Linked DNA regions of Caenorhabditis elegans. The protein of the gene in region 2 purifies or fractionates together with the protein of the main gene of each other region. This does not show direct contact. Each region holds a gene or a part of one and is shown on either strand. Other genes may lie near its edges.

What was found. The genes of interacting proteins can lie anywhere in the genome.
Region 1: the proteins of dut-1 (region 2) and Y48G1C.5 fractionate together in Caenorhabditis elegans (co-fractionation; one large-scale study listed by BioGRID). This does not show direct contact.

Annotation. Positions count from the first base shown.
Region 1 is NC_003279.8:62,375-66,129, reverse strand, and holds the start of Y48G1C.5 (Tyrosine-protein phosphatase domain-containing protein), read left to right. Parts: upstream 1-2,063; 5' UTR 2,064-2,108; coding exon 2,109-2,112; intron 2,113-2,157; coding exon 2,158-2,226; intron 2,227-2,273; coding exon 2,274-2,333; intron 2,334-3,155; coding exon 3,156-3,356; intron 3,357-3,755.
Region 2 is NC_003279.8:9,583,292-9,587,046, forward strand, and holds the start of dut-1 (dUTP diphosphatase), read left to right. Parts: upstream 1-2,125; 5' UTR 2,126-2,129; coding exon 2,130-2,510; intron 2,511-2,556; coding exon 2,557-2,678; intron 2,679-2,724; coding exon 2,725-3,070; intron 3,071-3,119; coding exon 3,120-3,241; intron 3,242-3,287; coding exon 3,288-3,654; intron 3,655-3,705; coding exon 3,706-3,755. Other genes in the region: K07A1.1 (uncharacterized protein), read right to left, coding at 1-170; K07A1.13 (uncharacterized protein), read right to left, coding at 686-810, 883-972, 1,022-1,151, 1,200-1,286, 1,342-1,440.

The DNA.
Region 1 (3,755 bases), 9.5 Mb from region 2:
GAAAGCCTTCCGGGGCCTGAAATCGTACTTTCGCGATAAAGAATTGCTCTTTCTGCGATGTGAACTCCCGTTACATGGTAACCACAATGAAAAACATACATAAAATTCGGGCCGCCCGATAATACATCTCGATAAAACGTTATCGGAATATTCACAAGACTCATGGAGTCGACTTCACACGAAGTTACATACCTTTCACTCGACGAAAATATTCTTCCTTTGGACACGGTCCATCAAAACATGACTTCTTAACGCGCAAAATACCAAAATAGCTTGTGAGAGATAGAGATAGATGTGAGAGATAGTGAGAGATAGAGTAAAATAGGGAGAGGGTGCGCGAGTGCACGAACCGGAAACCGAAAAATTAGAGAAAGTGATAAACGAAAAATTACAGAGGAAAAGAGCGTGGATAAACTAACAATGCTGGAAAGAGCGCGTAAGAGAGAGGGAAGAAACAAATGCGAACATATTTAATCTCCTAGACGAGAGAAGGAACCCCTGAAAGGAGTAGAACACTTACTGAAGCACCTAACAGCGGGGGAAAAAGCCATTGAGCCTCAGAAAGTACTCTTCGTAAGGATTACATGCCAAAAACTGAGAATTTTGATGATTCCTCCTGCAAAATCTGGCATACGCGCAGATAACTCTTGGAAAACGGAGAAATAACCCCCTTTTTATCATTACGAACGAGAAAAACGCTTAAAAACGCAACGGAATCAAGGAAAATCGATAAAAAACCTTAAAACTACTAAAAATTCGATAAAAATACAATAAAAACAAAGAAAAATCCAAAAAAAATCGATGCAAATCGATAAAATCACGTCCTTTTTCTTTACCAACACGTAGAATGACGAAATCTCGCCGCTGCGCGCGAGGAAAGATGTCGTCGCGTCGAGACCTGCCTCTCACTAAAGGCGATGCGCTTTTAAGCTGTCGCTTCACTTTCTCGGGAAAACATACAAATCTTCGGCCAGAAAACTAATGTATTAAACATTGCCACGTATCGGTAAAATCATTTCTAAATTTAATTAATTTCTACAGCTCATTCCAATGGGTTATAGTGACAAAAAACAATGATTTCAGGTCAAATATATAGTTTTTATGAATAAAAAATCATTCTTCGATCAATGATGTTTTAGTCTTAGCCATTTATCCATTGACCTCGAGCCACAATGAACGACATTCCCTCAAATTTTGAATTAAAAAATCATACATTTTCAGACTGAAATTCCGAGAAAAGTAGCCCGAACTTTTTTCTGAAAAAGTTCCTAAATACTCATCAAACATTCATAAACAGTATTTAAACAAAAAATCCCAAGATAACACTTTTGTCTTCAAGATATTCAGGTTGAAAACTAGTGTCCTGAAACTTGTATTTCGGCTCCAAAAAATGTTTAAATCCAAAAAAAAGTTTCAATTTAATTTTGCTCTAATTTGCAAATGATTGCGGGTATTAACGTAAAAGCTAATTATCTGTTTTATCTTCTTAAGGACCCAAAATCCAAGTTTCAGGACATTAGTTTTCAACCTGAATATCTTGAAGACAAAAGTGTTATCTCGGGATTTTTTGTTTAAATACTGTTTATGAATGTTTGATGAGTATATAGGAACTTTTTCAGAAAAAAGTTCGGGCTACTTTTCTTGGATTTTCAGTCTGAAAAATGAAGATGAGGATTCGAAATTCACCTGTAATCTCCATGCTTGTTTTATTTTTTTGTCCGAAAAAATTTTGTAGAGGAGTTATAAGCAAAGGTAAAAATATTGAACGTTTTTTCTTGTACAGTTTTACTGAAATTACAGCTTGAAACACATTCCCTCATGTATCAGCCAAAAATTCAATTCCATTGGAAAAAAAAAGATTTCACGTAATATTAATTTTTTTTTGAAAGGTCAAATTTCGCTGCTTATGTCAAATTTTCTTCGGCCATCTAGTGTTTGACATTCTGTGAGTCCCTAAAACTTTCATAGAAATTAAAATTACAGAAACCGTGACCTTTTCGTTATAAAATAAATAAAAATTCCAACACTCCTTCTCTCAGAATTCACACTTCCAATCATTAATTGATTCAAAAACCGTCGATCAAAGGGAAGTTTCATAATACTTTGCAATGAGTAGGTTGATTTTTATTTTCGTTCCGAATTTCTTCTGTCTTCCAGGAATCAAAATAATAATCGTTTTGATAATTATAACGGTTAATCGTGTTGTCAATTCGGATACTTTCGAAGGTTTCTTGACTGTTTCAGAGCTTTAATTTCAATATATTTTGTTCCAGAAGAATCCAGTTTCTTTAATGTGATGTCATTAGATCCACGTTCCAAACGTGAAGCTAAAGGTTTGTCAGTCGAATTACAGAAAAACAATTTTTACGTTGTATTTGTTGTATATATATGTTAATGTATATTTTGCGTGTCTTGCATAGGCTTAGGCTAACAAGGGAAGTCTTTAAAGCGGCCCGTAGATTTGGGGTTCTCATGTTGATATTCCGATAGAAGAGTGTTAGTTTTGATCTCTCCAAACAATTTAGCTGCCCAAGTCAAGTTTCAGCAAAGTTATGACATTTTGAAATTTCAGTTAAAAACACCATTGAAATCCACTGTCTTCAGCCTATTGTGGTGGGCGTCACATTTTCGGTGTTCACGCAAGCTGATATTTGTGTGGATAGCACTGTAAGACAGTGTATTTCAATGGTGTTTTTAACTGAAATTTCAAAATGTCATTACTTTGCTGAAACTTGGCTTGGGCAGCTAAATTTTTTGGAGAGATCAAAACTAACACTCTTCTATCGGAATATCAACATGAGAAACCCAAATCTACAGGCCCCTTCAAAGACTTTCCTTGTAAGGCTTAGGCTAAGACTTAGGTTAAGTCTTATGTTAGGCTTGGCGTCAGTGGCGAGCGTTAGCTCGCTTTGACAAAAAAGAAAAATTCCTAGAAATTCCTAAAAATCCGAAAAAAGTCAAATTCGGGTCAATTCTCATAAAAAAAATAGCCAAGAAAGGACAAAAAAGACAAAAGTTAAAAAAAAAAAAAGTAAAAAGAGTTCGCGGGGGGTTGGAAAGCTAAACTCGCATGATACGTATAATATACGTAATAATTAATAAAAGAAAAATGACAACAAATAACTTTTTAAAAAAATCATTCATAAAAGTTGCAGATGACAACTTGATAACTGCCGTTGAGCGATTACAATTCGCCTCACGATTGATCAATGCAATGTACCTACAACAAGAATTGACAAAAGGAACCATTCCATCAATGAATTTAACTTTGGATTTGTTCAAATACGATTTCTCAATGGATCAACTGAATGCAATTGACTACAGTTCGCTGGAATCTAAACTGATAGCGCTTAAAGGTTTGGTTGCAAACATTCAAATATTTGAGTATGTTTTTTGTTAGGCAAATACCTTTTTTTGTTTTTTAAAACTACAGTCTACTCGTTCACATAGGGCAGGCAGGTTCCAGGCAGGCCCTGAAACCGCGCCTATCTACCATGGAAGACCTATTTTTACATATTACGATGCAATTATGCAACTATGTTTTCCAGGTTTCAACTTTTCACTACGAATATCTTTTCACTACGAATATAAAATTCAAAAGCTGAAATTTTGGTTTCAAAAAATCCACTGTAGTAACAGATTAGGTGGTAATAGAGTACAGGGGTGGGCGGAAAAAGATTATATAAGGGCCTATGGTAGTAATAGAGTATGGACAATTTGCCGGAATTAAAATTTTCGGTAAATGGGCAAGTCGG
Region 2 (3,755 bases):
TGTGCCATAATAGTCAGTACGCAAAACATTCCTTTCTCCATTTTTTTGGTGAATTTTGGAATATAAACAAGAGCTGGGAAAACATCACAGTTTTCCGTCGAGACTTGTAGTTTGCGGTCGACGCACTCTTCGATTGATTCGTTGACGATCAAAAACTTTCCTTTTCTCATGGGTTTACCTGAAAAGTGGCTAAAACGAAAGTAAAAAGAAAGAAATCAAGCGAGTTGCTTTGGAAAAAAAGTAAAAAACATTCGAATTTTTAAGGCACACGGAGATGTAGAGCAAGCGGGTCTCGCCACGACAAAAATTTATACGGTATTTGCCTTCAAATTTGTTTTATATTTCTGCTTGCCCTTTTTTCTTTTCCGCTTTCTTTCTGGTTTTTCATTGCAAGTTTCAGATTTTAAACGTGTTTTTTTTCATTGAGAAAAGTTTAGATTTTAAAAATAAGTTGCACATATCTTTCTGTTATTTCATTGGTCTCTAGCAACATATTTATAGCTTCCATCACAAATTAATTTGCAAATTTCGATGTTTCGATTCTTAAGTACTTTAATTTTAACTTTTTTTACGCGATGCGATTCAATACTTTTTATTTAACTATTAAGAACCAATTATTCCAATAAATACGAAACGAAAAATACAAATGCAAAATATTAATCAATTCTAGATAATTTGTTGAACTTCAAACTTGTACAAATCCCTCTGCTGTCATTTGTGCTATAAGCGCATCATTTCTTCGTTTCTCGTATCTTGCCATGTAGATGTAATGCATTGCTCGACGAGTCCAAATAAGACGTAATCCGCACCCTAGAAATTATATTCAATGCGTTTGTCTTTTCTAATCAGTTTTAAGGTTCCAAATAATCAAATTAAACTAACAAAAGACCAAAGCATATCCGGCAATGATAATCCAAAGGCGGCCTGTTTCAGTGATTCCTGGAAAAGCGGTTGGAATGAGGGATCTCTCAGCTGTAATAATCAAGATTTTATGAAGTTCATAGGATTGATTTTTGCTTACGTTTGAAAGTCTCAAATCCACAAAAAACTAGAAGAATAATGATCTCGAAAGCTCCGGCATAGGCCACAACGAGAAATCCGACAAATAAACTGTAAGATTCCAAGGCCATAAAGAAGAGTTGAAGACCAAGCTGTTAACCAGAAAAATATAATTACTTATGTTTATAAATATCGCTCACTTGGGCAAAAAAATAGTAGTTTTGAGAGAAAATGAGGAACAGGAAGCTGACAATCAGTTCAGCGATTCCCAAAATGATAGCGATTCCCTGAAAAGTTTTGAGTTATTTCATATCGAGCGAAAGCTCTACTAAAAATACTTACTGTAATTGTTGGATCTCCATCATCCTCGGGGAGTCTGTTCAAAGATTGTATGGTTCTATTTCTTCTCGTTCTCTTAGGAAAAATTGTTTGCGACGGCATTTTGTGAGAAGAAAACTTTGAAATCTATGTGTTCAGAGTGAACAAAGGAACATTGAGGGGAGATAGGCGGAGCTTTGTGCCTGTAGAATGTTCTATGCAGCAACAACAAATATCAATTTGAAATCATATCACGAGATGGATGTAAAAATGAATTTGATCAAATGTGTCACTTCCACGATTTTTACAAAATTCATAATGGTATGCAATTTCTCTGGGAATATTGAAGTGCCTTGTTGGAACTGATTCTTGATCAGAATGAGAATATTTTCAGAACAATGTTTGATCGAATTACAGTTTTACTTACTATTAAATAATTCTGAGATGTGACAACAATACTGTACATTTCTGAGATACGAGAATGAAACCACTAGAATTTACAGATGCCCGTCGTCTAATTTTCTCACTCAGTTGTTCTATATCAATTTAATTCTAGACATTCGGTAGTGTTTTCCTTCAATATTTACTTTTTCTTTCATTTCGAATAACAGCCTACATTTGACCACAAACAATGATGCAAAAATGCGCCCCGCTGAAACTTTCAAGCGCGCGAAAATAGTAATTTGAAATTGAATACGAGCGCGCCAAACTCTGATTTTTCTTTGCGTTGTTCTGAAGTTCAATTGATGTCCTTCTCTCATTTTCTCTTCAAACCTCGATTATATCTCCCAACTTTTACTTTTTTGAGGAAGATGACTCTTACCGTTGCTGCTCCCTGCGTCCAAACCGTCACCGAGCCATCAAAAATGGAAATGCAAGCTGAATCAACGTCTCATATAACAATTCGATTCACCGAGATGGTTGGTGATGCTCAAAAGCCAACGTATGGTTCAATTTCATCTGCCGGAGCCGATTTGTACAGCGCTGAAGATGTGGTTGTTCCGGCTAATGGAAAACTGTGTGTTTCAACAGGACTTCAAATTGAACTTCCAATTGGATACTACGGAAGAGTTGCGCCACGATCGGGTCTTGCTGCCAAACACTTCATTGATGTTGGGGCTGGCGTTATCGACAGTGATTATCGCGGTGAAGTCAAAGTTCTACTCTTCAATTTCAACACCACAGCTTTTGAGGTGTCATTCTAATTTGAGAATTCATAGTAATATTTTAATATTTAAGGTGAAAACGGGCGATCGAATTGCTAAATTGATTTGTGAGCAGATTGGAAACGGAACATACGAAGAGGTTAAGAGTTTGCCATCCACGAATCGTGGAGCTGGTGGATTCGGCTCAACTGGAGAGTAAGCAATATTAATTTTCAATTTTCCTCAAACCTGTTAATTTCAGATCTACAATGAACTCCGAAACGGCTAACCCCGCAACAAATTTGGAACGAATTACTGTTCGCTTCACTCAGCTCAACGAGAATGCTCAAACACCGACATATGGGTCTGAAGAAGCAGCTGGAGCCGACTTGTACAGCGCTGAAGACATAACTGTTCCAGCACATGGTAAATGTTGTGTTTCGACAGGAATCCAAATGGAATTGCCATTCGGATACTATGGAAGAGTTGCTCCTCGATCTGGACTTGCTGCCAAACACTTCATCGATGTTGGAGCTGGTGTCATTGATAGTGATTACCGTGGCGAGGTCAAGGTTCTCCTTTTCAACTTCACTGACAATGCCTTTGAGGTGACATTATATTTTTGTCATTCAAAATAATCTTTATTTTATTCTTCAGGTCAAAAAAGGAGATCGAATCGCTCAGTTGATTTGTGAGAAGATCGGTCACTGTGTCTACGAAGCCGCAAGTGAATTGGAGAATACAGACCGTGGAGCTGGTGGCTTTGGATCGACTGGACAGTTCGTTTAAATTTTCGCCTTTGAATACTCATATTTATCTTTTCAGAAATACGATGGAAGCGGAACCAGCTTTGAAAAAATCTAAAACTGAACAAATTAAAACCTCTGCCACATCGGTAACAATCCAAATCACAAAGAGCAACGATAACGCTCAGATGCCAACGTATGGATCAGCCGAAGCTGCTGGAGCTGATTTGTACAGCGCTGAAGATGTCACAGTTCCAGCCCGTGGGAAGTTGTGTGTCTCGACGGGAATTCAAATGGCATTGCCAATCGGATACTATGGAAGAGTTGCTCCTCGATCTGGACTGGCTGCCAAGCATTTCATCGATGTTGGAGCAGGTGTCATCGATAGCGACTATCGTGGAGAGGTCAAAGTTCTTCTTTTCAATTTCGGCGAAAATGACTTTGAGGTATCGGAAACTGTAAAAAACAATTTCGATAATTGTATGATTTCTTTGCAGGTCAAGAAAGGAGATCGAATTGCACAGCTGGTCTGCGAACAAATTGCACT